4 linked regions of the Diceros bicornis minor genome follow. The protein of the gene in region 3 interacts with the protein of the main gene of each other region in a pairwise test. Links are inferred from orthologs where the notes say so. Each region holds a gene or a part of one and is shown on either strand. Other genes may lie near its edges.

Region 1 (6,454 bases), on a different chromosome or scaffold from region 3:
TCCAGTGAAGCACGTCCTGGTGTGCAGAATGCTGCACCCAGGGCACCTTTCACTTCCCCTCTGCTCTGACTGCCCCTTGGACAGTGCCCAACCTGCCACAGGCCCTCCCCTACCTCGAGGCTTCCTTCCCTCCCTGCCCTGTGGGGAGGAAAGAACCACCAGCATTTGCCCATGGTTGAAAACAAACTGGAAAACTGCACAAATAAGAACAGATTTTTAATAATTTATTATTATAGTAAAACATCTTGAATAAATATGGAGCATGAGCTTAAATAAATAAATAAATAAATATTAAAATACATAAATACATAAATAAATATGACTGATCCCTGCCAGTGTAAAATATCTCCTACTCCCCTACCACACCCATATCAAGGTCAGCATGGCCCAGAGCAAGTCCATGTCTTCCACAGCCCTGGCCCACCCTGTGGTCCCTCCAAGGTGAAGATCCTGAGTTTCGGCTCTTTGTGGGTGGGAGGGCAGCCATCTGTGAAGTAAGCTCCCAGGGCTAGCTCCTGTCTGGACCGGCCTGCCTCACTCCTGGACTGGCTCCCAGCAGTCAAAGGGGATGTCAAACAGAAATTTCTTCAGGTTCTCTTTGAAACTTTTGAAGGTGATAATCTGGGTTGCACAGGAAGTTTCCTTAAAAAAAAAGAAAAGAAAAAGAAAACTTGAGTCCAGACGTGAGTGGGTAACGTGAGGGAAGCACCAGCGTGTTTCTGCGCTGCCTCTTAGATCTCAGAGGCCAGAAGGCCCCTCTGGGGTCTGCCTGCTGACCTGGCTCAGGTAACATGTTGCCACCCATGTGCCACTCAAAGGGTACACAGCTCTGCCAGGGCCACAGACCTGACAAAGTGCCAATCTGAGGCTGGTCTGCTGGGCAGTTGGGGCAACTGCCTCTTTGGTCCCAGGCCAGGCTGAGGCTGGCTCCAGGATCCCAAAAGGGGCAGGCGTCAAGGCCACAGACCTCATTCCCTTCCCACAGGAAAGGAATGTTTGGGGCCTTTGTCCATTCCAGGTATGTCCCCATCCTTTCTCCCAAGTAGTCCAGCACCCACAAGGGGCAAGAGGAAAGTCCTGTCGGGAGGCAGCACTTGGGCCCAGGACTTCCTCTGGACCTTAGGCGGGCCCTGAGTTTCCTTGGGTTTGCCTCACCTCTGACCTCATTAATGACAACAAATAACAAAAGTGGTAGCAGCTCCCGCTAGGGAGCGCTGTAGGCTCCTGAGCTCCACAGCTTTAACTCCTAGAGATGAAAATGGGCTGGACTGCTCCCTCTCTGGAGGAGCTAATCATTACAAATCTGTTCAGACAGAAACCCTTTGGGATCCTGAACAGCCACAGCCACAGGTCTCTCCCTACCCAGTCCTCTACTCTCCCAGGCTGAGACCTTCCCGCTTGGGGCCCAAATGTGAGCACTCACCGGGGTGGGGGGGCAGTGTTGCTTGTAGTGGCTGGCCATCATGGTCAAGGAGCCCTTGAGCCTGGTGAGGCTGCCCCGCAAGCCCTGTTTGTACAGCTCCAGGCGAGTCTGCAGGCATGTCAGCTCCTGTGGGAAATGTCCGTTTCTCAGTGAGCAGTGGCCAAGTGCCCTTCTGTGGGCACAGGACACCTTCTGCATCATTCTTTTCTGTTCTCATCCCTGTCCTCCAACAGTAGGGCCTGGGAGGGGCACAGGATGATTCCTGACTCGTCTCAGGCCAGGTCCAGTCACACAGACTGCCCTGTCTCCCTATCCATTGCAGACACGAGTCTGACTCCTCCTCACTATTCAGCTCAGGCCACCCTCAGCCAGCACAGCCACATTCCCTTGGTCTGGCACCTCAAGAGGGTCCCAGCCCCCAGGAAATGAGGTCACTAACCCCTACCATTCAGGGAGAGAGGGGCGGAGCAGGACATCAGCTGGACCTGTTGTATGAGCAAGGCTTGTTCCTGAAACCACCCCCGTGCCCCTCTGTAGCCAGCACCCTGTCTCCACAGGGCTTGCTTTCAGCACACAGTGAGTACCCCATGCCCACAGCCCCTGTCTCACGAAGTAACTTCCGCTTACCCAACTGTCCCCTAGTCACCCCAGGCCCCTTGAATGCTAGGTCTGTACATGGCTGCTCAGCTAATAAAGGAGCTCACATGATTGCCACACGGGCAAGGCCGGTGGCCTCTTGAGTACCCCTCCTGGCAGCCAGCTGACTGGAGAGAAAGTGGACAACCCTGTGAGGGTCCATCTAAAATGGAGCCACCCCCTAAGGCAGAGACCTCTGGGAAGATGTGTCAGAGAGAAGCATCTTACCTGGGGGTCAAACATTTCAGAGACGACTTCTACTGTTTCATTCTGTAGAAAAGGAAAATGTCGTGTTATCAAGCTGATAGGCAGGGCCAATTGGGGCCAGCGAGGTGTCCCAGGCACAGCCCGTGCTCCCTCCCTCACTCACCATCATAGCAGCAGTGTCACTACTGTGGTTCAGAAGGCTCAGGGCCTCCTTGATGGCATCCACGTGCTGCCAGGGCCGGGTGACAAGGCTGGGTTGTCGGGTGGGTGCGGAGATGCTGCAGACCACAGTGCCCAGGAAAAGCAGGTTTTGCAGCCACATCCTCCTGAGGACTTTAGCCTTTCTCTCTGAGCACTGGGCTCACTGGCAAAGGAGCTCTTATATACACAGTTAGAGGAAATGATTAATGGTGACCACAAAACGCCAGGGAGGCGGGGGAACTACCTGAACTGTGGAATCTCCTGGCCCTTATCAGCTACACAAGGGAACGGTGAGCCTTTCCCCTAGGTGGTCAGGCTCGGGGGTTTTCATTAATGAGCCCTTCCAAGAATTGGCAGCCCACCGCCTGCCTACTTGAGCGTGCTCCAGCCCTCCTTGGGCAGTCTGACCTGCTGAGGCTGTCCCCTCCCCCTGAGGGGCCTCTGGGCACAGCTTGGACTTCCTGGCCTGGAGTGGCCGGGGCGGGGCCTGGGAGACACTGGATCAAGCTCATATTCCCAGGCTCCCCCGGATCCTGCTTGTTATCCCAAGAGGCCTTTGGGCTGGCTGTGTCCACCCTGCGGTCTGTTCCAACCCCAGACTCCCCTTCTCCTCCTAGAGCCCTCTCCTCTGGCCACAGTGAGAGATTTGAGTGTGAGGAGGACACTCACTCTCAGCCCACTGTCCACCTAGGCAGATTCCAGCCAAATGGCATAGACCTGCAACAGTTCCCACCAAGGATGCAGAGCAGTCGACAAGCTCAGCCCCTCCAGGGACCTCTGCCTTACAGCCCCTGTGAGCAGAGAATGGCAACCGTGCACACATCCAGCCAGCAGGATTGCAGTGCTCCTTCATGGTGAGGTTCCATCTGACAGCAGCAGTTCTGGTTTACACAGCCATATTCAACGCCCAAGCTGCAGAGGTGGGTTGGGGTTCCCAGCTGGGGTGCATTAGGGCCCTGAGTTCAAATCCTGATTCCAGCACCACCTTGCTGAGTGACTTTTCCCTCTGAGCTGTGTGAGCCTTGCCTCGCTCTGCAGGGCATGACAGCCCCCAGCAGGCGCCAGGAGCTTCAGAGGCTGGCTGAGGGCTTATGGCTGCATCCACACCAGGGGGACAACAGCGTCTCAGACAAGGTCTTCCAGGCTTAATTTCCTACATGGCCCCTGCCCCAGCCCACCTCCAGCTCCAGAGGCCTCTCTGTGGAACAGGAACTGCTTCTGGGAAAGCCACAGGCTCTTGAGAGTCTGAGAAGTGTTTGATTTTCACAATGGAGTTAGGAAAGGATAGCACGAGTTTGTGTTTGCTGCGAGTTTCAAGGCCACAGGGGTGTAGGTCCACATGTGTACATTTCTGAGTATCTATGTGCCAGTGTGGTTGGCTGTGTCTTACAGGCGTGTCAGGAAGGGGGAATGTTTTACATGAGGTACATCCATGTGAGCCCCCATGCCTCTGCAGGTACCCCTCTGATATGGGGAGGACAGGATGGGGGAGAGTGTTTGGGGCACAGAGAGGTGATCTGTTTCTGGGCCCCAGAGTCTGATTCAGCCTAGATAATGGGGTCAGACACAAGCGAGGACATTCTGCTGGGCTTAAGTGGACAGCCCTCGAGAGCAGGTAGAACTCATGTGTCCCGGGGTCCAAGCCTGCAGCCCTGGCAAGTTTCACTGCATGGCGGGAGGGTTGCTGCCCTTGCATGGAGAGGCCAGGCCTTAGTCCTTCAGACCCCACTGGGGTGCCTGCCAGGATCTGGGACCCACCATGAGGTCAGCCCTGCCCTTCTGAGCCTGATGGAACATTCTTAGGTGGCCAGGCTGGGGGTAAGAGTATGGCATGTCCAGGCCCTGGCGCTTCCTCCACCTTTTCCATAAGGCCTCTGCTCAACCCCTTCCAAGGAAGGGGTCAAGGAGGCTAAGATGCAGATGACACACAGAGTGAAGGTCTGTGTCAGACAGTGCCCTGGAGGCTGGGTGGTAGAGAGTGGAGGCCACAGGCAGTGGCTAAGTTGGTGGCCAGAGAGGCAGAGAGCTGGTATGGCCCCTCTGAGATGGAAGGTCACTTTCCTCCTGGAAATGAGTCATCACACTAAGACAATTAGTCAACAAACTTTTCCAATCTGCACCAGGCCCTGTGCTGGGGAGGAGGTGGATGGGACCCTCCCACTCACCCTCACATCTGGCCCTGGAGGCTCTCAGTCTGGTCTGTGAGACAGACAGCAGTGGACCCTCCCATTGTGTGGTCCAGGCTGGGATGAGGGAAGTTCAGAGCTGAGGGAACCACTTCTTCCAGTTTGGAGGTTCAAGGGGACCAGAGAGCTTCCTGGGAGATGCTGCCTCCCAGCACAGGCTGAAGGGGCAAGTAGAGTCAGGTAGGCAAGTCAGGTTGTGGGATGGAGAGGGAGGACAGGATAGGGGGAAGTATTTGGGGGCACAGAGAGGCAGAGGGTTTTAGGAGCAGGTGTGGTAAAGAGGAGGCAGTTTCCAAAGAGATCTAGGAGGTAGAATCTGGGTAGGACTTGGTAACATTCATTCAATATTTATTGAGAACCTACTAGGTTCCCTGCGCGGGAAGGGGAATACAAGGATGATGGAAAACAGACAAGGTCCTGCCTCTATGTAGCCTCATGGATGGAGAAGCAAGATTAATCTACTCACCGTCCTCCCCAAAGTATGCTTTTGTGTGTAAGAAGAGTTGGAACCACTGTCCAGGTGTCTAAGGTGGGGACCCAGGGGATGAAGGAGTGGGTCTGCAGGGTCTAAGGGCCCATGGGAAGGTTCTGTGGTTTGGAGGCTGCATGCACAGGAGACAGACATGGGAGTGGTCCATGTCTATGCAATCGCTAAGGCCACAAGGCTGAGGGCCAGAACAGTGGTGCTTAAGGGCCAGGCGCATGATAGCTGGGCAAGAGACTCTCCAGTAGCCAAGGGCACTAGGAGAGCAGGAAAGCAGGAGCCGCAGGGAGAGGGCCATGCCAGCGGTGTGGCTATGGGCACCAAAGGTAGCACACAAGGGACAGCAGTCCACGGGTTTGGCAATGAGTTTCGTGGTCAGCCACACATCTTACTTCTGGAAAGATGACATCAGGGCTGAGGCCATGACATGGGCAGGCATTCCTAGATTGCACCGCATGGAAAGTGGCAGCAACAGCATCCAGCAGCGTGCTGACTCAGGGGCCCCAGTGGGACTGTGGGAGGGCGGGGGTGAGGACCATGATGGGCAGTGTGACTCCTCTTTGGCCCCCTTCCCACATGGCCAGGAGAAAACCCTCTGGAAGAGGTTTCCTTTGAGTGTCCCTCCCACAGGTTCTGGAAGAAACAGGGGCTTGTGGCCACACCAGATCCTTATCACGGAGGAAGTCATCATGGGAGAAGGAAACGGGCCTCCGAGTGCCGCGCAGCCCATGTGACCTCTGCATGGGCGTCTCAGCTCATCTCACCCTTCCCTGGGCCTGCAACCCCTCGGTGGGGGGCGTCCTTGTCTTCCCTGGGGACCTGAGGCCCAGGAGACCAATGGCCCACCCAGTCCACATAATCAGTAATGGCAGAGGCAGGATTTGAACCCATAACCGTTCCTGCTCCCCTGATGTCTTCTACTATCTCAGTTGGAAAGCCAGGAAAAGCTGGTCACCTGGCTAGACCAGTGGGGGGATGTCCCCCTCAGGGCGGCTGTAAAGGGAGATGCCTCCAGGTGCTGGCAGGGAAGCTGGAGTGGCCTGTGACTATCCCAGGGAAGCCCTGGGGGCCGAAGGCAGAATTTCTCCAGCAGAGCCTACCATCCAGACATCTCTGTGTCTCCAGCTCAGGTCTGGGCTCTCCACCACTGATCCCTGGGTAGCCTGAGAAAGTCCCTCCTCCCTGGGCCTCAGCTCCTCCATCTGTTCAATGGGTTTAATTATCGTTGCCTCACAGAGGTAATTGTTGCCCGTCCCAGGAAACTTTGTAGGGGAATCCTCCCAGGGAGGAGGCAATGTTTCAACCTTTCCTCCACTC
Region 2 (7,186 bases), on a different chromosome or scaffold from region 3:
ACGGCTGCTAGCGAGTTACAAGGCAAAGCCGACAGAGACCCTATGGCTCGTAAAACCTAAAAGATTTACCATCTGGCCTTTTCAGAAAAAGTTTGCCTCTCAACTGCTGCTCTAGACTGTGGAGGAAGCACAGAACAGAGCAAGGAACAGCCTCCTCCCTCGGGGCAGAATTAATTCACCAACTCTGCCAGCTGGTTCTGCGTTGCTACTTTCCAACCTCCCTCCCTACTCACCCACATATGTGCCCCAGGACCCTGCTCGATGATGTTACCATCAACCACAGCCCCGCTGACCGAGGGCCCACTGTGCGGCACGCAGTGACTGTCTCATTCACCGAATTTTCCCAGCGGCCTTCACAGATAGGTATGTGATGACGCCCACTTTACAGAGGTGAAAACTGAGTCTTAAGGAGGTGACTCGGGTCCCCCAAGGTCAAGGGGCTTACAGTGGCATAGCAACCACCTGAATCCAGATCTGCTAGGTCCTCCCCACCTACCCTGGCTCAGCCTCCAACACCAGATGGAAAGAAAAAGGAGAGGCGGCCGTGTGGGCCAGGCTCCTGTCAAGTTCAGGGACCCAGGGCCCCCCTGACAGCTGAGCCAGCTGGGGTGGAAGGTCTGACGTGGTTTCCACAAGGCCGGCTCTGGCTCCCGGGGAGAGGACCCCACCCCGAGCCCCCGCCGCCAGCCCCGCTCACCGTTAATCAGCTCCAGGGCCTCTTCCTTGGTCCGGGTAATCTTCTCCTGCCGCCAGGACGAGGGCCGCCGTGACTGGCTGTGCTTGACCAGCAGATGTGAGCAGCGGACCCTGGTGGGCTCCCCCTGGCCATTTTTGCCGCCGCTGCTGCTGTTGCCGCTCGGCCGCTCCCACTGGCTGGCGTTGGTGATGTGGTTGAAGTAGTACACCCGGCCTGTAGGGGGGGGCGGGCGGGAATTCAGCGCCGACGTGCTCACAGGACACCACCCTGGGCCAGCATACAGGACTGGCCGATGAGATGCTTTCATTCAGCAAATCCACTGTGTCCACCACCTGCCAGAGGCCCTTAGGAAGCTAACATTCTAGGTGGGGACAAACAGGTACCAGACAGCAAATAAGACAGTAACTTCAGCCATAACTTCAAGAAGGAAAATAACCCAGGGTGAGGAAGAGAGGAAGCCTTGGGGACAGGGAGTAGTTCAAAGCACGCAGGCAGCCAAACACCTGTTCAAATCTGGCTCTGCCATTTCCTCAAGGTATGACCTACCTGCCCCGGCCTCAGGTTTTCTCACCTGTAAGATGGAGATAACAGTATCTGCCTGGAAGGCTGAATAAGTCCACATTTGGAACTGATGCTCAGGATAAAACTCATGCTCAGGAGAGCACCTGGCACGAAGAGTGTGCCAGCTGTTATTTTCTTCATTTTAGAGACGACAAAACTGAGGCTTCACCTTGCGCATCTTTGGTTACGTTTCCTGAGTGTCTACTCTGCTCCAGGCACAAATGCGGGGAGGCAGGAACTGCACCCACGTGTGTGAGACACAAAAGCTCTGCTCTTGTCGCCCACCCCGTATGCTGTGCCGCAGAACCAGAGGCCAGAATGACTGGGGGCCAGACGTTACCTAGGACTGAGGAACATGAAGCAGTGAAGGCTGCAAATAAGAAGCTAGAAGTAGGACCCAGCAGAGATGGGGTATCATTCCAGGGGCCCAGAGTTTCCCTGGGTGACATGGAAGACTTGCGCCCAGCACCCTGAAGGGCTGATGTCACCCCTAAGGAACACTCTCAGGGTTGAGCCAGGCACAAGTGGCAGGAGTGGGGGCCCGGAATTGGGCAGAGCATCAAGTTTATGCTGCAGGTCACAGCCGCAGGCCAGGGCCGGAGCAGGCTGAGAGCTGAGCCACTGCCTGCCTCTAAAACCTTGGCAACAGGCTCCATCTCCCTGAACCTCAGTTTTCTCATCTGAAAAGTAGAAGTGAGGCGAGAGAATAAGGACATCAAACTTCACGGGGTTAACGTGGAATCGATGATGATGTATGCAAAGTGCTCGCCGCAGTGCCTGGTGGTCAATAATCAGGAATTATAACTGCCACTGCGGTTACTACGGGCTATGGAGCCACTGGAGGGAGACGCAGGGCCTGCTCCTCAGTAGTCTGCAGTGACAAGGGCAGGGTTCTAACTCAGCCCCCACCCCTGAAATGAACGACCTTGGGAGACTTCCTTAAGTTTTCTGGCCTCAGTCTTCTGATCTACAAAATGGGAGGAAGAACGACCTCTCCCCCCCCCCCCGAGTTACGGCCGTGCAGAGACAGAACACACTTAAAAAGCTTGGCACAATGCCTGGCGCTGAGACAAACGTGCCCTATTATTGACATGAATACTGTGGATGAGCCTTAACCCGGGCCCCCAGCACAGGCGCCATCCTCAGAGAGAACACCACCAGCCGCATGTCGCAGACTCAGCATTAGATGCGCACGGCAGGCGTGTTAGCAAAAGTAGGTTGCGGATCCCAGGCTGGGCAACACCCTGGGGCCACGCCCTGAGCATGGGGGTGGGGTGACCTCCCCCGGGGTGGCCCCCGGGCCCCGCGGAGTGCAGAGACGGTCCCCCGGGACGGCAGGTGCATTCGGCCGAAAGGTGTCAGCCGGCCCGGTAGGGCCACGGCCACCGCCCGGGCGGTGCAGCCGGATCACCGGCCCCTCACCCCCCGGCAGCGCGCTGGGCCTCTCCGGCCCCGCCCCTTGCCTCAGTTTCCTCCGGCTTCCCCGCTCCTCCAGCTCGCAGCCCCACGGGGCCGACTGGGCCGTTACCCGGGGACGACGCAGAGGAGCCAAGACCCCACGGCAACAGGGCGGCGGCGCGGCGCCCGAGGGGCGAGCTCGAGCTCTACTTCCGCGGGCCCGCGCGGCCCCGCCCCAGCCCCGACCCCGCGGCACCTGAGCTGCGGCTCATGCGCTTCTCCCAGCCGGGCGGCAGCTTCTCCTCGTCCGCCATCTTCCCTCCTGCCGCAGCGCCCGCTCCGCCTCCGCCGCGCCGCCTCCGCCGCCCGCGCCCGCCCGCCGCGGCCGCCGATTGGCTCGGCGCCCCGCGCACGGGGGCCTGGCCACGACGCTCATTGGGTACTCTAACTGTCCGGACTGGCTCCCTGGCTTCCTATTGGGCAGAAGCCAGAGTGGGCGGACCCTCTCCACTGTTTACCCGGGTCCCGCCCCCGGTCGGCCTCACCCCGGTCCCGCCCCCTCCCTCCCCTCGGCCCCTAAGTGGTGGAGAAGGGACTCGAGCCCGCCTTCTCAATGCCCTTTGGAGAGCTTCAAAGAACTCCCGGCCCCTCCTTTGCGCCCTTCTCCGCAGGGCCCACCCGATTGGCTACTGCAGCAGCAATTCCCGCCTTCCTCAGCCGTTCCCGGAGCCCCGCAAGCCCCCCCATGCGGAAGCGTCTGGCTGGTGCGGAGGGAACGGCAGCCGACGAGGTACTTGGGGCGGTGGCGGTGCTCCTTTGCTGTTGCCACAGCAGCGCAGTTGCCTTGGTGATGAGCAGCTAAGAACCCAGAAGCCTAAATTTGTCTCCTCCATCCTCCCTCTTCCCACCTGTTTCCTCCAGACGTCCAAAGCTAACCTACGCCCTTTTATTTTTTTTTGCAAGGCTAACCTTTTCCCTATGCCACTGACCCAAACACCTTTCATTTCCTTTGGAACCTACTTTATGTCACTTATTCTTTCTCAATCTAGCTCCTGCCTTTGCCCTTGATGACTGGTGAGTGTTGACCTTGCCACTCAGATGGGGACAGGGGAGCAGGCGCGGGTGGGAGGAGGATGAGCTCAGTTTTAGTCAATTTAAAATTGAGTCTGTGGCGTTCATGGGACACTGAGGAGGTGACTGGGAACGTGGGGCTGGAGATAGACATGGGAGTCAAAAACACCAACAGGGAAGAGTTCAATGACACTTCGTCTATAGCATGGCCCCTTATGTGACCATTAAATCGAATGAGGCGCAGTGACATGAAACACAGGGAAACATATGCACAACAAATTATAGGGGCAGGATGCGGTAGAAGGTGAGGAGCACACAGGAGCCAGACTGCTTGGGTTCAAAGCCTGGCTCTACCATTTGCTACGACCTTGAACTTATTACTTAACCTCTGTACTTCAGCTTTCTCATCTGCAAAATGAGGATAAGAAATAACACATATCTCATACATAGCTTTTTTTTTTTTTTTTTTTTTTTGGTGAGGAAGATCAGCCCTGAGCTAACATCCATGCTAATCCTCCTCTTTTTGCTGGGGAAGACCGGCCCTGAGCTAACATCTATTGCCAATCCTCCTCCTTTTTTTCCTTTTTTCTTCCCAAAGCCCCAGTAGATAGTTGTATGTCATAGCTGCACATCCTTCTAGTTGCTGTATGTGGGACGCGGCCTCAGCATGGCCAGACAAGCGGTGTGTCGGTGCACGACCGGGATCCGAACCCGGGCCGCCAGTAGCGGAGTTCTCGCACTTAACCACTAAGCCACGGGGCCGGCCCCTCATACATAGCTTTGATGGGAAGATTAAATGAATTAATCTATATAAAGCACTTAAATAGTGCCTGGTGGATAGCAAAGATAATGTATTTGCTGGGTGAAAAAACAGTAAGTCATAGTACAGCATAGCAATTATAGTATATATGAAAGCATAACATAACCAAAAAAAATCAACGAATAAAATTGATTTAAAAGAATGCCCTCATTTATAGAAAGATATCAAAGCATAAAAAGCATTAAAAAGCAAGCTGCTGTATGAGCAATATGAACAGTATGAGTATTAAAGTATGTATAATTACCTCAATTGTGTAAAACTACAGGTTTATATTACAGGAAATTTCTGGATTCATCCAAATATGTTAATGACTACCACTGGTGACGCAGGTGAAGAAATGAGGAACTTAAGTTCTAATATAACATTTTGATTTTTTTTACAAGCATGTATTAGCATAATAATCATCATCTCTCTCTCTTTTTTTTATAATTTTATTTATTTATTTTTCCCCCAAAGCCCCAGTAGATAGTTGTATGTCATAGTTGCACATCCTTCTAGTTGCTGTATGTGGGACACAGCCTCAGCATGGCCACACAAGTGGTGCGTCAGTGCGCACCCAGGATCCGAACCCCAGCCGCCAGCAGTGGAGCACGCGAGCTTAACCGCTAAGCCACGGGGCTGGCCCAATCATCATCTCTTTATAAAGATAATTTTAGACTTAGGGCAGAGTTGTAAAAGTAGTAGAGAGTTTTCATATACCCTTCACCCAGCCTTCCCTTATATTAGCATCTTACATAATAATAGGGGCCGGCCCGGTGGCTTAGCGGTTAAGTGCTCGCGCTCCGCTGCTGGCGGCTGGGGTTCGGATCCTGGGCGCGCACCGACGCACCGCTTGTCAGGCCATGCTGTGATGGTGTCCCACGTAAAGTAGAGGAGGATGGGCATGGATGTTAGCCCAGGGCCAATCTTCCTTGGCAAAAAGAGGAGGATTGGCAACAGATGTTAGCTCGGGGCTGATCTTCCTCACACACACACAAAAAAACAAAACAAAGTGGGGGAGGGAGATGCTACTCGCATTTAGTGGGAAGAGGCCAAGGATGCTGCTAAACATCCTACAATGCAGTCCCCACAACAAAGAATTATCCAGCCCAGGGCTGGCCCTGTGGCTTGGCGGTTGGGTGCGTGTGCTCCGCTGCTGGCGGCCTGGGTTCGGATCCCGGGCGCGCACCAACGCACCGCTTCTGCGGCCATGCTGAGGCCGCATCCCACATACAGCAACTAGAAGGATGTGCAGCTATGACATACAACTATCTACTGGAGCTTTGGGGAAAAAAATAAATAAATAAAATTATATATTAAAAAAAAAAGAATTATCCAGCCCCAAATGTCCAACAGTGCCAGAGCTGAGAAACCACACCTTAGAATAATTATCAAAACTAAGAAATCAACATTGGTACAATATTATGTGTTAACTAAACTAGACTTAAAAGAATTTTTCCCCCCGTTTTTCCACTAATATTCTTTTTATATTTCAGGATCCACACTGTCATGTCTCCTTAGTCTCCTGCAATATGTGACAATTTCCAGGTCTTTCCTTTTCTTTTTTTCTTTCTTTTTTGGTGAGGAAGATTAGCCCTGAGCTAACATCTGTTGCCAATCCTCCTCTTTTGCTGAGGAAGTTTCGCCCTGGACTAACATCTGTGCCCATCTTCCTCTACTTTATATGTGGGATGCCTGCCACTGCATGGCTTGGTAAGTGGTATGCATGTTCGCGCCTGGGATCTGAACCCACAAACCCCGGGCCACCAAACCGGAGCATGTGAACTTAACCACTATGCCACTGGACCGGCCCCTCCAGGTCTTTCCTTGTCTTTCATGACCTTGATACTTTTAAAGAGTAGAATGTCCCTCATTCTGATGTTTTGTCATGATGGGATTGTTGGATGTGTCCTCACGATTAGATTGAGGTTATGCATTATTGGGAAGGATACCCCAGAGACCTGTGCCCTTCTCAGTGCATCGTACCAGGTGATCGATGGTGTTGCAGTGCATCACTGGTTGTATTAAGGTATCTATTGCTACATAACAAATTACCTCACAACTTAGTGGACTAACATTCATTATCTCACAGTTTCTATGGGTCAGGAATCCAGGCAGTTTAGCAGCAGGGGCAGCTGTGGCCTCATCCGAAGGCTTGACTGGGGCAGGATCTGCTTCCAAGCTCGCTCATGTGGCTGCTGGCAGGATTCAGTTGCTAACAGGATGTTGGATGAGGACCACAGTTCCTTGCTGGCTATTGGCTGGGGGTCTCTCCAGCTCACAACATGGCAGCTGGCTTTCATCAATGAGCAAGTGCAAAAGCAAGAGAGCAAGCAAGACAGAAGCCACAGTTTCTTTGCAACCTAATCTCACAATTGATATCCTATCACTTTTGCCATGTTCCATTTGTTAGAAGCTAGGTCTAGCCCACGCTCAAGAGGAAGAGATTACACAAGGATGTGAATACTCCGACTGAGGGATAATTAGGAGCCATCTTAGAGGCTGCCTACCACACTTGTGATATTAACTTTGATCACTTGGTTAAGGCAGTATCTACACTTACTATTTTCCCCTTTGTAATAAATAAATATTTTTGAGGAGATACTTTGAGACTATGCAAATACCCTACTGCTGCTTAAACTTTCACCCACCAATTTTAG
Region 3 (7,811 bases):
GAGACTTATGTGTTAATAATATATCAGAATTATAGTGATTTCCTCCATTGCTTTAGTTTCTGCTATATCAAGATACCTTTATAATACTATGAAATGAAATAACTATGAACGTAAATTATGGAAGACCAAATGCAATATCATCTCAGGAGAAAGATATCTTGAATTAAAATCTACCTAGAGAGCTAACAAATATTAATTAACTTGAACAGTGAAATTGGCACTAAATTTTATTTTCAATGAGCATACATAGATTTAACCAAAAACTATTGTGAAATTTCCTTTTAAATAGTCAAAAGTTCTTTCAAAATATCCCATCAAAGAAAATATTCATTCTAACTCCCCAGTGATTCTATCTTTGGTGATGACTAATTGTATTTCCCACTCAAGATGTAATCTATTAATACTTTATGTAACTGATGCAAACTTTGGGGATTGTTTGTTTTTTTCAGTACTTTAATTATCAGCTTCAACATGTAAAAATAAAGTTATTTTGTTATACGGTTATTTCCCACCAAAACAGGGTTGCACTATTAATATAACCAATTTTTTAAGAAAGTTGTTATTAAAATAATTTAAAGGAACCCACTTTAAATTCTTTAAATTTAAATTAAACCCACCAGTTCTTAGATCCCACTTTCTCTGTTTCTCCCCAACCAAAATAACATGTGCCTATATGAACATTCAGTTTGCCGTAAGAAACTTAGGTGTGTTTGGTTCAGTTCAGGAAGCATAGGAACAATCCATCACATAGGTTTCTCACTGCAGAAGTAAAATGAACAGTAAGAGCTTCTAGTAATTGCAGAAGTGCTGCTGACCAATTTGAACTGGGATCTGCTTCCAAAAAAAGTTACACTGATATCAAATGCTGAGTCTATGAAATGATCACTGCATTCTAAAAATGACCTTTTTTTCTGGTGAAGATGGAAACCTTCTTGTTATGATTAACCTTTTAACTTTGTCTTAAGAGAGTTTCACTTATGGTTAGTAAAAACCATTAAAAATGAGTGATACTGCTGGTAACTTTCTTAGATATAAACTAATTTGTGATGGAGCATTAAAAGTTCACCTCTGACCTTGTAAAGTAAAAGTTAGATTTTAAGTTTGTGATAGAAGAATCCATCTCATACTAACACTGAAGAACAAATGATACTATTGCTGCAAAGGCACATGAGAAATATGCAGTTCAATCATTGTCATTTATGTGGGATCTTACCTAAAGCATTATAAAGGATAAACATTTTCCAATCTTTCAAACCAATACCTGGAATTACCTTCTTAGGACTGTTAAACCAATTCCGCAAAGGAAGAAAAATATGTAAATATTATATTAAATGACCCTTTCCAAAAAGATAGGACGTATGTTGCGCTATTAGCTACAGAAGAAAACTCACAAATTCTCTGATCGTCAAGTATCTTAACAACTTCATAATGATACAGATAAGTAACGGCTTTGAGGAATTGTCCGTAAAACTTTAGTTTCTCTAAATTGCTTCAATTTAGTTGGCAGCCTGTGCCTTCAAGCCTCCGCGTTCAGTAAGCTTCCCGTTTTGCGTGGCTGCTCGAGTTATCCCTACGTAGATCAGCGCCTTCTGCGTGCACCCTCGCACACCAGCCTCAGGCACATAGCGAACTAGCACTACCCGGATTGTCGTTTGTTTCCCCATACTTGTCTCCGATAATACTCAGTTGGAGGAGGATTTTACTTTCCACTTTAGAAATTTAAATTAGCACCACACGAATACAACTACTATTAAGAATCATCACTCTTCAAGAGTCTGAGTGTGTATTTATTTACAATTTTCTGATACGTTCCTTTAAATCCTCTGAATTCCTAGATTATGTCTTCTTCCCCTAGAAAGGGAAATTTTTACCATTTGGAATAGGCTGCTATTTAAAGAACTCTGAAATCAGAATATTTTCAAAAAACGACAACTTATTTTTTCTCATACTCTCTGCCAAGTTCCATTGCAAGTTCCAAATATTGTGCAATAATTTGGAAATCCAGTTAACGATGGGAAAAATCGAGCCACTCGGAGTCGGGAACTTGCAAGGGAAAAGTCAAGGAGCGGCACCCGCACGCACGCCCAGCGGACACTGCATCCCAGGGTGCACTCCCCTCCCCATCGCTCAGAGGAAAGGTCACGCTTCGCAATCGATTTCACATACTGTCACTTGTTCTTTTTTCTTAACTCTCTGGTAAACTAGTTTGAACCTTGGAGGGCTTAGCGCTGTTGGCTGCAGTGTCGCCCTCGGAGAAACACGTGCCCCCAAATAACAGGACCAAAGCAGCCCCGCCGAATTTGGCGACGGGGAGTCAGAGAGGGCAACAAGACGTGTACCATATTCCCTGCCGCCTCACTATAGTGCGAGAATCCTCCCTGTCATCTCTCCGCCCCCTTTCGCCGAGGGTGCCTGGTGCATCCTTACCTGAGCTATCGCTTTTCCTCTTGCCGCCGCTTCTCTTCTCCGCCTCAGCGGGTGACAGCGCCTGGCGGCCGTAGTCCCCAGGCGCGCACGCGGCCCCGGTCGGGGTGCTGGAGCCCAAGCTGGAAGAGTTGGAACACAGGACCGGTGGGCTGCTTCCCAGCTCCGGGGGCCCTCCCGAGTCCGCCTGGAGGCAGAGGCTGTGCCGAGCTGCACTCGGAGGGGAGGACATCTGCGGGAGGTGCCAGTTGGTTTGCAGAGCTTGGTGCTGTTGCTGTTGGTGGTGGTGATGGTGATGATGGTGGTGGTGGTGGTGCCCCCTGTGATGCTGGCTGGCAAACATGCCCTCCTCGTTGGGGTATCCCGCGATTATGCAAGACGAGGAAGAAGTGGAGAGCTCGGGGTAGGACATATGGTCAGATCTTCCATGGAGGGCGAGAGAGGATTGGGAGAACGGGTGCAAGCCTTGCGCGGTGGCGTGAGGGCTGCGCAGGCAGCCAAAGAGCGGGTGTTCCATAGCATGCAAGTCTCGGGTTCCAGGCAGAAGACTTCACGACGAGTCCAAACGCCACTACCCTCTGTCACTTTTCACTGAAAACCGTGTGACTTTTTCCCTTCCCAAAGCAATAACCGCCCGCGTTTCTGCAGAGCTCGGATAATCCCTGTCCTGAGCCCCAGCGGCCAGCCTCCTTCACATATAAACACTCGGACCTGGAGGAGCTTCCCTCCGAACTACTCAGATGTCAAGAGTAGGAGAGGTTGAAGCCAAAAGAAGGTGGTCCCAGAGAACAGCTTTCAGGGGGAAACGGCTCTGAGAGGTTATAAATAGAGTGTAATGTGAGCTGGGGGCTGGCTTAGGAGGCCAGCGCTGACCACATGCAAACTCCCTCCAAAACTCCCGCTCAGTGTGCGCCACGCGCTCCGAGTTCCACTTCCTATCTCCGGCTGGACGCACGCAGCGCGTCCACGCCCGCCGGCCCCCGCCAGCCGCCAAGGCTGCAAGCGGCGCGCCTGGCGCCTAAACCCCAGCCCCGGCGGGCGTTGGCTCTCCCCTCTCGACTCGGTGCACCGAGGCGCGCCGCGATGCCCGCCAGTCGCAACCCCGCGCCCAGTGTGTGGCCCGCTCACTTCTCTCAGGAAAGGTGTCTTGCTAATGCCACTTTGGCACTGTCATCTGCAGGAGAACTAGGGGTGCGCTCAGCTCTTGAAGAGCACGAAAGGAGCAGTAGAGTTGAGGAAGATCAGAGCTAGTTTGGCGCGCGCTCAGAGAAGTTTTTCAAACTTCGCGTGAACTTGTGCCCTGGACCAAGTGACGAGCCTAGCTTTTTGCAGCTGGTATCTGTGGGTGGGTTGTTAGTAGGTTCGGATGCTAGGTCCGAGGTTGCAGGGAAGTTCCCAGCGGGCAAGAAAAGGCCAGTCTCGGTGCCAAAAGGAGAGGGACCTGGTGGGGTAGGTCGGAGGAAAACGTGGGGCGGTGGCAGTTGTCGATATCCAGACCCTGGTATCCTCACCTGCGGTGCCAGGTGTGTACTCTCTTCCCCTGGTTTCCGCAAATGTCGTCTCTGCTTTCCGCAAATTACCTCCCCTCTGCTTTCCTGGTCCCACTCAATTTCCTAGACACTTGTCCACCAAGAACTTTTTCTGGGACAGGAATATTCCGAAGCGATTTCTTCCCGGTCACATGAGATGTGTATACTGCACGCACTTTTCCAGTCTTTTCCCTCAAGAGCCAGCCCATGTCCCCTCATTTCCCTCCAGAAATCCACCCTCTCTTCCGCTGGAAAATAAATCAGCTAATCGCAACCCTTCCCACCCTCCCCCCAACCCATGCCATGGCTCCGTTTATTGAAAAATATTGCACTTGAATATCTCCCAAAGTTCACTATACCTGGGTGCTTTAGGTCTCCTTGGTTACAATCTTGCATCATAGAAAATGAATTAGAATACTTGCCACCAGTGAATTAGTGCGAGCGACGGCTGATACCGCCACTTTTGATGCTGCCACTTGCTTGAGGGGCGACACTGTCTGCTGGGGGCAGAGTCGTTTGTTTACACAAGGCAAGAAAGCCTCGTGTAATGAGCTGCAGAACAGTTGAGTCCCGCCTGGGACCTGTCGCATCAGGAGAATATTGACGCTCACCTATCCCGCCGGGGGACCCCAAATGTGCCACCAGCAGCGTCGCCCCGCTATTTTCATTGTCTCAGGTGTCCAGAGGATGGGGACCAGGTCTTTGAAGTTGTTAATGGGATTAATGGGGACAGCAAACTGCGCCAGCCATCTGGCTTGAATTAGGAAAAAGTATTGATTAATCTGTGAGAAGTGTCCCCAAGGCAGAACCTTTTCCCTCGCCCAGTCCCTCAGGCTTCAGCCTATCTCCCTTTTCTTTTAAGCCGTACTGCAGAATAGTGGCTTCGCAACAAAGCTTTGCATCCATATGTAAGTCCGAATTGTTTTCCATTGCTTAGAGGTGGGGTGAGGCGGGAGTGATCAGGAATTCTGAGATTTGTAAGTGCTGCTTTCTTTAACGGAAATTGAGCCCTATTTTGAGGGAAATTAGTTTTGCAGACTTCGTTAAAAAAAAAAAAAAAAAGCTAAAACTTTTGTTCACCAGCTGCTCAGCTTCTCAGTCTGGGTCTGAGCTGGAACCTGCTGCAAGCGTTTGACGGTAAGACTTTCTTTGCCGATATGTTTTGGGAATCTAATCTTGCTTTAGACTTCGAAAGGGGGTGTTCTTCAGGTTGCACGTTTCTAAGGGTTTTAACCACTCGCAGGATGGCGTCCAGGGCTTAGACCTTAAGAATGTTTCTTTCTGCCACTCCTCATGCCCTTGACTCTTTAAGGATAAAAAAAGAGGGACTATATTCTTCTAATATCGTCGGAATATTTTTTGAATTTTCATTGTGTTTATGGTTTCAATATGTGCTCTGATATTAAAAGTTGAAGTACAAAGAGCCACACTAAACTTCCCAAACTCGGGTAACTAACTACTCCATGGATTCTGGGTGGAAGCATTAAAGGCTTTATCCAAAGAGAAATTTAGGCACCCACCTCCATAAACAGTAACTAGAAATATTTACTGAATATAATGCTGTCTACTAAAAGCATTGTGGAAAATGTCAGACAAGGCTAACTAAAGATACACTTGATCTGCACACATCAATAAAAAACATCCATAAAGGTCCTTTTGGTTTGCATTACAGTGGTTTGGAAGGGGCGAAGCAATTGGGAAATGAATGGATTTGAATTTAACCAGTGTGTTGCAGGTAACTAGCAACTAGCAAACACAAACTTTTCATCTCCAGGAGCTGCCACTTCTCCTTGAACCTGCCCGATGACTGTGCTGGCTTTTTTCTCACTCACTGTGTCAGATGTTAACAACATGTCCAGAAATTTCTCTACAACCTGCCTCAGTCAGCCAGCCTCTGGAATGGTGGGGCTAGAAGTCTGAGAAAGAAAAATTAGAAAAGGTTAGAAAGGGAAGGAGTCTCTTTGAAAGGCATGTAATTAAAACAAAGCTAGCAGGAAAGGTCTTTTTAATTGAAGACACAAAACGTATAATATCAGTAAAAATGATGAAGTCCAGATTTCTAACAGAAAGCATAATATAAGGAAAACGTTATTTGGAAGAGAAAAAAGTGTGATTCAAAGAAGAAAGGAGTAAAAAGGAGGTCTTGATGCATTCCAGAATTAAATATGACTTTTATTTTTTGTGAATTTCCAAATATATATTAATTACTCCATAAAGTTTTTTTCAAAATTTTCATTTCTTAGAATATTTGGATTAAGATAAAATATGGGTTTTTATTTTCTAGGCCATAGAGAATTTTTTCAAAATGTAATAGGAAAAATTTCTAGCGTTTCCTATGATAGCTACTTCAGTGTCCACATCTATAAAATCTGATGTTGAAAGATGCTTTCTTACCTCTAATGGCTAATTATATCAGGAAGAATGGCAAAAATTACAAAATTTATTATAGAGTTTCTATAGCATTCATTTTAAACTATATATTATATAGTATTTATTCTATATTTACAATATACTTGAATTTTCCTGAAAAATGTTCTATTAATACAAATATTTCTTGCAAGGTTTTGATATCAAGCAGCACATTATAACAAGAGGTTCAATATACAAAAAACGTAAGCTGCTCATCTTTTGTAGGAAACATAATCAAAATTATTTTAAACATGTGCTTGGCTCTTTAAATTTGATAAATATGTATATCATTCCTTCTGCTTAATGAAATGATATTCAATAGTAAAGGCAGCGATTTTTTTTAATTAAGACTTTTATTTTAACGGGACTAGAATTTAAATTAAGCAATCTGAAACATTTATTTTTAAATTTATTTTAAGAGTCATGATGATTCTTTTAAGAGTTGTCATTCTTCTATACACTTGTGACATGAGGCATGATGGGAATAAAATATTTAAAATTAAATATTATCTTTAGCTACAGATATCATAAAACTTTACTTTGCATTTTACCTGCTAGATATATTTGCCTTAGTAACATATAGTTATGATATATGAATTTAAGTATGGAAAATTAAATTGAGACTGGAATTTGTCTCTGAAAGTTTTGTTGAGGATAAAAATATTATTTCTGCTATTTCTCCAAGAATAATAGTTATGTCCTTCAGTTGGTTCTTCTGAAATAAAGAATTTTGAAAATATATTAAAATATGCTAAATACTCAAAGGTAATTTATGTGATTTATGATGCACTCCATTTTTAAAAACTAAGGAATTGCCTTTCTCCAGGAATTATGCATTGTACAATTTAAAAAACAATTTTGCTATGGCTAACTCTTGTTATTTAGTAATTCTATATACTTTTACTGATTTTTATAATAAATAACTATTTTTACATAACACTAACTACTGCTTTCGCAATAAAATTTGTTACATTTCTACATATACTAGAAAAAAATGCATACTTACACATTACTTCTGAAAAGTGTAAAACATCCAACATACTTTGTTTTTCTAATTTCTATCTCTTCCTACATTTGTGATTTCTTTCAGAAATTAGTGTTTTTCTTCAATTCAATTGAGGTACTATATAGTAAATAATATTCAGAAAACTAGCATGAAATGTATATTATGACTGATAAAATTAAATTCATAAATTTAATTAAAAATTCAAAATATATGCAACCTTCCATGATTCCCATTGATTTCCACATACATTTTATGAAATTCTAATTATCTTTTTGTGTGGGGGGGGGAGTGTTAAAATTATGAAGATATTGACTACCTCTCAAATTTTAAAAGCTTCTATCTGAACTTCCTTTTGTCCACCTGTTTTAAACCCAGAATTATTCAACAATGTTACCTCATAATGATGCACATGGGGAATAGTTACATTCAATTCCTACATTTTT
Region 4 (6,824 bases), on a different chromosome or scaffold from region 3:
TGAGCTCATTCCACGGGGCTAAGAGAAAGTCCCTCAGTGCGCCCGCAATGGGACGTCTGCCGAGCGTGCGCCTGTGCCACCACACGCAGAGCTAGTGTGTAAGTGGACGAGGCCGCAAGCTCTGGCTCCAGGCAGGGCAGCAGCCTCCTGGGGCCCCCTCCCTCCCCACAGGTGCGAGGAGGCCTTAGATGCCGGGAGCTGGGACAGAGCCAGGGACGGACCGGGGTGCCCACCTTCGATGACGGTGAGCCTGGCGGAGCACATGGCCTCTCCGTACGCATTCACTGCGGTGCAGCGGTACACGTCCATGTCCTCACCCGTCAGCTTGTTGATCTGCAGAGGACAAGGGCGGGGGACAGGGCTAGCATCCCCCTCCATTTACTAGACATGGCTGTGTATCACAGAGATGAGTAAGACACGGCCCTTGTCCTCATCAGGAAAGCACACCCTAAAACAGAATCCCAGATCAGGACAGAGGGTGGATGTGCCCGCTCTTTGCCATCAGAGGCAACACAGTGTAGCAGAAAGAGCTCGCTTACTTGAGTCAGACGTATCTGAGACTACACATCGTCTCTGTCATGTATTAAGAGATTTGGGACCTTGAGCAAGTTACCTAACCTCTCTGAACCTTAGTTTCTTTACTTAAAAATGAGGGTAAAAGGACCAGCCCCGTGGCTTAGCGGTTAAGTGCACGCGCTCTGCTGCTGGCAGCCCGGGTTCGGATCCCGGGTGCGCACCGACGCACCGCTTCTCCGGCCATGCTGAGGCTGCATCCCACATACAGCAACTAGAAGGATGTGCAGCTATGACATACAACTATCTACTGGGGCTTTGGGGGAAAATAAATAAATAAATAAAATTATTTAAAAAAAATGAGGGTAATAATACCTCAAAAGACGGTGAATGATGAGGATTAAAGTATATAATCTACATCATGTGGTTAGCCCAGGGCCCAGCACACAGTAGGAGGTCCATGACTGGGAGCGATAAATATGGCTAATATTGACCAACATTGGTTGAGTGGGACTCACTACGGGCCAGGCACTGCCAGACACTTTACATAACCTTTAATCCCCATAGAAACCTCATAAAGTGGGTGCTATTATGACCCACTTGACAGATGAGGAAACAGAGGTGCAGAGAAGTAAGCAGCCTTCCTAGGCCAAGGTGTGGGCCTGGGGTCGTAACCAGGCAGTCTGACTCCGGGCTTGAGTTCTTAAGCTCCAGTCTACACTGCCTCCCAAGTTATCAGCAGAGCCACCTGGAAGCCTGCTGGGTCCACACCTGGCTCAGGCAACCCGGAGCCACAGGGTGGAGTTGAGTGGACTCAGCCCTAGCTGGGGGTATCTCTTACTGCTCTGGGGCTTGGAGGCCACCAAGGAGCCCCTCGAGGGGACGGGAAGAGATGGGTGGACCCCAGCCTACCCCTGCTCACCTGCAGCACGTGCTCCTTGCCGCCAGGGGTGGAAGAGATCTGGTACTTGCTGGAGTGACTGAGGGTACCTTTGCTGCACTGCCAATTCACCTCGGGTCTGGGATCCCCACATACCACGGCCCGGAAGATGGCATTTTTCCCTGTAGCGGGAAGAGGCCGGCGGGAGATTGACAAGTTGGGGGAGGGGGAGAGTATGTTTACTGAGATTTTAATTTATGTTGTCTTCGCTGCTCTAGATGTTCCAATGGCCCACTGCAGGAAGGGCGCCAGGCCTCAGTCCCCTTGACTCAAGGACTCCTCTAGCTTCCGGGCGCTCAGAAGACAATCCTCGGTTGGCTTTTGTATGGCAACACCCGGGATCCTTGAGGAGGAGGTGCAGCCGGACTGTCCATGGTGGAGGGGTGGTGAGCAGGGCTTGGGGTGGGAGGGGTGTTTCTTTGCAGGTGAATGCGGTAAGGAGTCTGAAGGACTCCCCAAGACTGGGAAGCGGATGAGTCTTCTGTGGGTTCCATGTCCACTCTCTAGGGCAGGACGACAACCTTGGAAAGGTGTGGCTGTTTGGCGCTCAAAGGAGCTGGTCCTGAGACGCAGGGTTCCAGCCTCAGAAAAGACCCCACGCTCCGTGTCTGGCGTGGGAGGCTGGGAGCTGCTCCCCCTCCAGGAACCTCTCAGGCTCCCCACAGGGACATCTCAATAGAGAGTGTACGCAGTAAAGACCCACGGGACTTCCCAATGATGAGACAAAACTCTCACGACCTTGTGGAGTGGGGCTTCGAGTCAGATTGAGAAAACTAGAGGGCCAAGATTTTTCTTATACCAGAGTGTTGTAAACTGAAAATCACTGCAGGGATGTGGTTTGGGGAAAGAACACTAATTTGCATGCCTTCCCCAACAAGCCTTTGCTCCCCCTACTCTCCCGGGCACTTCTCTCATGTGGCCTTCCAGAAACTTCCAGAGCCCAGCCTGTGAGCCGCTGCGTGTGGCTTCCGGAGGCCAGGGTTGGGAGGATCCCGAATTCATTCAGTTTCGCTGCCTCCCTGCTGCAGCTGCTAGGAGGAGGGGAGAGGGCGGGACACTGGGATACCCCACAACCTCCTCCTGCTCCCAGTTCAGCATTTCCAGTTCTTGTTCCCCAGACACTTCTTGCATCAGCCAACATGGCATGTCTTCACTCCCTCACCCATTCTGCTCCCCAGAGCCTTGCCTTTCTGGGGATCCAGGCAGGCAGGGACCCCTGGGTATAGGGAGAAGTGGTGTGGCCTGGGGATGGGCTTAGGCACTGGGGGGCAGGCCGGGAAGAACGGCCCTATGCATGCTGGGAGTGGGGATCTTGCCTCCTTTCAGCGGCTCCCCTCCCAGGTCTCACCCTCCTGCAGCGCCAAGGTGATGGGCTTCTGCTCGAAGTTGGGCAGGCTGCATCCTTTGGGGACCTCCTCCACCAGCTGCCGGATGCTCACCCCAGGGACAGAGGACCTCTTGAAGGGCTTCCCTGGAGAAGGCGGGAGAAAGGGAGATGGGCCCTACCCTCTCTCCCTCATGGGTGGCCCTTCCACACCATGGAGCATTGACCCACTTTCCCCAGGAGGAAGAGCCCTCTTCGCTCCCCCAGTGTCGGGCAGCACTGTCTCCCACAGCTCTGCCTGTGAGCAGTGCTTTTGAATGTTCTAGTGGGGTCCGGCAGTGGTCCGCCAGCAGTGCGAATGGGGCCTCTGGGAAGTGGGCAGGGGGCGCCCTGGGAAGACTCTGGGAGCATCCCTGGGGTGAAGCTGGAGAGGGAGAGTGGGAAAGGGCTCCTTGTCAGAAGCAAGGCCCACATGGGGGCCTCTGCACATTTTGTTCTGGAAAACCAGTTAAAACCCCAAACCAAAAGTAAAAAAAAGCAAAGAAGCAGGTGAGCTCCCAAAGCTCCCTGAGCCCTCCCCCTTCCCTCCTCTCCACCCAGGGGAGGAACGCCAACGCGGTGCTAGGGGAGGGGAGGGGAGCTCTGCCCTCACCTGCCATAGTTCTGGCTCCTCTCTGGCTGCTGAGGGTGGTGACTGGTCTCCTGAGAATAGAAGACAGGCCTGCTTATGAGAGGTGTGGGCTGGTCTCCCCATCCCCCACCCATCAGTGCCACAGCCAGCATCTGGGGTGGGAGCCGGGTGGGGTTACTGCCCCCGAGAGCTTGTCTCACCCCAGCTAATGACGCTGATGGGTTTCCTGCAATCCCTGCTCAGCAACACCGATTTCTCAGAGTTGGGAAGGGGTAGGACGCTGCCGAGTTGGACCTTTCCCAGGCAAAGGACACCAGGGGGCTGAGCCTACAAACTGGGCTGGTGGGCTGGCCTCCTGGTGGGACCCAGGCCCAACGACCACTCAGAGGGTGAGGAACAGCCTCCCGGAACCTCGGGAGATCAAATTCCAGCATTCAGGATCCTTCCAGCTACTGAACAGCCTGCCCCCCTTGACTCTGGAATATCACTTTTCCAGGGACATTCTCTGGGACTCCGAGACCTTCTAGCAGGGCCCAGAGCCCTCTACCTCCCAACCTCAGCCAATCTGGAATCCTTCCCATTACTGGGTCTGCGGGAGAGAATCCTTGACTTGGCTGCTCTTAAGCTCTTCTCGACCCAGGCCGAGGGGCTCCCCATAAATCCATCTGCCCCCCTCTGAAGCCAGTGAATTATAGCGTCAGGTGAGCAAGAGTGTTTTGCCAGCCTCTCCCAACCCGCACCCCTCCCCCCGACTTCCTCTTAAGTACATCTATCCATTTTGGCCCATGGTGAGTGCCACCTAGGAGAGGGAGGGGTCTTGGCTCTGGGCTGGGGTGAGAGCCTTGATGAAAGCCATGAATTGGAGAGGGGAGACGATGACTTGAAAGAATTCTCCAGCAGACCCACCTCCTGTGTGGTTGGCCCATGGCCAAGGGGTTCCATTTTGGAGCCTCCATTCCCCCCCTAAGAGCCCTGCTATAAATACAGGATCACACATGACAGAGCACATTCCTCCCTCCTACTCACATTCTTCCATTTCACAACTGCCCACCCACTGGCATTTCTGGCCCCAAGGTGTCCCCTCCACAGCCCAGCCACTGCCCCCCAGTGTGCTGGAATGCCACGTGGTGCCAACTGTGTTCTGGAGCAGTCACAGGGCCACAGCCGTTGAGCAGCAAGGAGTCACAGGGGAGGGCAAGGAGGGAGAGCAGCGCCAGTGGAGGAGAACCCAGCCAGCTTCAGCCGGGGGACGACTGCAGGGGCCTCCGTCCCACCCACTCCCCGTCTGGCACCTGTCCACAACCTCCACTCTCCACCTGTCTACTACTCTACTCTGGAGTAGTTCAACACAGATATCTCAGCCATCATCTTCATCTTCAACCTCCATCATCGTCACCACCAGCCGTCAGGCACTTACTCGGTTGTCACACATGAAGAAGTACAATGCTAACACCTCTCCTCTCCCTCCAGCCTCCTGCCTGCAGGTCTCAGCTGGGGAGGGAGAGAGGAGCAGAACCCCTACGGGGACTTAGGGGTCCGAGGCTAAGCCATCTCGCCCTCCAGACCTCCATTCTCTTCAGGAATAAGCCAGATTTGGTGCAAGGTCAATGGCAATGGGGAAGAGATCTGTTTGGTTGGAGACCAGAGGGATGCGGTCTCAGTCGGAGGGGATGGGGAAGGAAACATACTCTCTCCTCCGTGGTTCATTCCCACTTTTGAGAAGAAGCCTAATTCTTCTCAGGACCACACAGCAGCTCGTGTCCTCCTTCCAGCCTGTCCCCACATGGCTCTCAGCCCCGGACCCCAGGGCAGGGTCTCCTGGTCTCTCTCCGGGACCCTCAAGCCTCCATCCCGTCTCCACCTGCTGTTGCATCCTGCGGATCCAGGTTCCCGCTGCCCCCATTTCTCGGCTGGTAGGAGTAGAGGCAGGAAGAGACAAAGGGGGTTTCTCTCCACTGCTCTGACCTGTTATTACTCAAGATGGAACAAGTCCCAGCCCTGAGGTCCTTATTCTGGATGGCCAGTCAGATCTTTAAGCTGCTCATCACTTCACACTCCAAGCCAAGCAGCGCCCGGAAAATCAGAGCCAGGATAGAACCACCAGGACAGGACTCGCTGAAATTCTCTTCTGCAAATATCCTGGAGTTGTACAGAGGGGATGTACGTGCACCCCAGGGAGTGTTCCCCGACTGATCTCACGCCCACTGCCTGCCCCTTCCTGAGTAGAAATGTTAGAGAGCATCCCAGTATCTCCCTCTCTGCCCTACCCTCGCTCTGGGTGGGCAGCCAGGTGTGCAGTGCCCACTTACCTGGGTGCACAGCCGCCTCCAGCCTCCTGTCCACTCCCTCCTCCCCGTCTCCAGCTGCTGCACGCTGCCAGAGGCTCTGAATGGACTGCTGCTGGACAGGCAGTGCTGGGAGCAGATGTAGGTCACGGCAGACACCCGGCTCCCTCGGCCCCTCCCACTCACCCCACCCCCGTCCTCCTCCTATACCCAGGCTTGGCAGGGCAGGCCCCCCAGTATTAATGCCCTGGCCTCCGAGGAGGTCAGAGATGGAAGGGTCCTGTGACATCAGCTCATCCAACTTCTTGTCTTGCAGAGCTTTGAGCTCTTAACCAGATTAGCTTGGTTCAGTCTGCTCCATTTTGCCTCGTTTATTTGACCCTGTTTAACGGGGGCATTTTCATCAGCCAAAGCCTTAATTTTTTCAGTTAAGCTGATCCCTTGGGACCCTTGACACCCCAAGTCACACAGATATATAAAGCCACTGCCCTCTTGTGAATCACAACCTAAAGTGGCACTAAACAACAACAAACTTCAGGAGCTAGACACAGACCTAGGCAGACAGGAGGGCATGATCCCAAAGGCTCTGCCATGGGGTGTGCCCCACCAAAAGTGTGGGGCAGGGGGGACCCCGGGAGTCGAACAACTGGGAGGCCTTCCGGGAGAAGGTGAGCTTTCTCGGGATAGAAGGGGTGACCCGGCTGCTGGGCTGGGGGCTGACGGTGGCAGGGTTGGGTTTCTGCGGATGTGTGGGTGGAAGGTGGGACTAGGGATAGGATGGCTGGTAACAGACTTTCTTAAGAAGAGTGGAGGCAGGTGAGGCCCAGAAGGAGACAAGGTGACAAGGCCACCTGGTCTGCTTTGGAAGAGCCACCTGCTCTCTCCGGAAGGACAGAGAACCAGTTAGTGGCCACCAATAAGCAAGACTTGATCAAGGATTCAGGGGAAGGAGAAGGGAAATGAGAGCTAATGTTTTCCAAGAAGGCACTAGATATTAGCACATTGCCAACTCTATAGGAGCCTCTGCACGTGCTCTGAGAGGGTTGGTGTGTGACCTCTTACACAGGCGTGTGTGTGCACGCACACTCGTGTATCTCTGCATCCCCCTGTGTGTTTCTGACTCTGGGGTTT

The links.
Region 1: the proteins of MEOX2 (region 3) and CSF2 interact in binary tests that used the Homo sapiens proteins (3 or more experiments, as listed by UniProt). The two-hybrid records come from large-scale screens. The link is inferred for Diceros bicornis minor from reciprocal best matches to the Homo sapiens genes MEOX2 and CSF2.
Region 2: the proteins of MEOX2 (region 3) and PIN1 interact in binary tests that used the Homo sapiens proteins (3 or more experiments, as listed by UniProt). The two-hybrid records come from large-scale screens. The link is inferred for Diceros bicornis minor from reciprocal best matches to the Homo sapiens genes MEOX2 and PIN1.
Region 4: the proteins of MEOX2 (region 3) and IGFN1 interact in binary tests that used the Homo sapiens proteins (3 or more experiments, as listed by UniProt). The two-hybrid records come from large-scale screens. The link is inferred for Diceros bicornis minor from reciprocal best matches to the Homo sapiens genes MEOX2 and IGFN1.

The regions. Positions count from the first base shown.
Region 1 is NC_080740.1:51,374,659-51,381,112, reverse strand, and holds CSF2 (granulocyte-macrophage colony-stimulating factor), read right to left. Parts: upstream 2,589-6,454; coding exon 2,430-2,588; intron 2,330-2,429; coding exon 2,288-2,329; intron 1,550-2,287; coding exon 1,424-1,549; intron 643-1,423; coding exon 535-642; 3' UTR 508-534; downstream 1-507. UniProt on the Homo sapiens protein: Cytokine that stimulates the growth and differentiation of hematopoietic precursor cells from various lineages, including granulocytes, macrophages, eosinophils and erythrocytes.
Region 2 is NC_080769.1:9,218,925-9,226,110, forward strand, and holds the start of PIN1 (peptidyl-prolyl cis-trans isomerase NIMA-interacting 1), read right to left. Parts: upstream 3,019-7,186; 5' UTR 2,971-3,018; coding exon 2,913-2,970; intron 911-2,912; coding exon 698-910; intron 1-697. UniProt on the Homo sapiens protein: Peptidyl-prolyl cis/trans isomerase (PPIase) that binds to and isomerizes specific phosphorylated Ser/Thr-Pro (pSer/Thr-Pro) motifs.
Region 3 is NC_080742.1:42,092,940-42,100,750, forward strand, and holds the start of MEOX2 (homeobox protein MOX-2), read right to left. Parts: upstream 3,004-7,811; 5' UTR 2,942-3,003; coding exon 2,428-2,941; intron 1-2,427. UniProt on the Homo sapiens protein: Mesodermal transcription factor that plays a key role in somitogenesis and somitogenesis and limb muscle differentiation. Required during limb development for normal appendicular muscle formation and for the normal regulation of myogenic genes.
Region 4 is NC_080777.1:29,494,497-29,501,320, reverse strand, and holds the start of IGFN1 (immunoglobulin-like and fibronectin type III domain-containing protein 1), read right to left. Parts: upstream 3,001-6,824; coding exon 2,991-3,000; intron 2,925-2,990; coding exon 2,802-2,924; intron 1,576-2,801; coding exon 1,436-1,575; intron 334-1,435; coding exon 234-333; intron 1-233.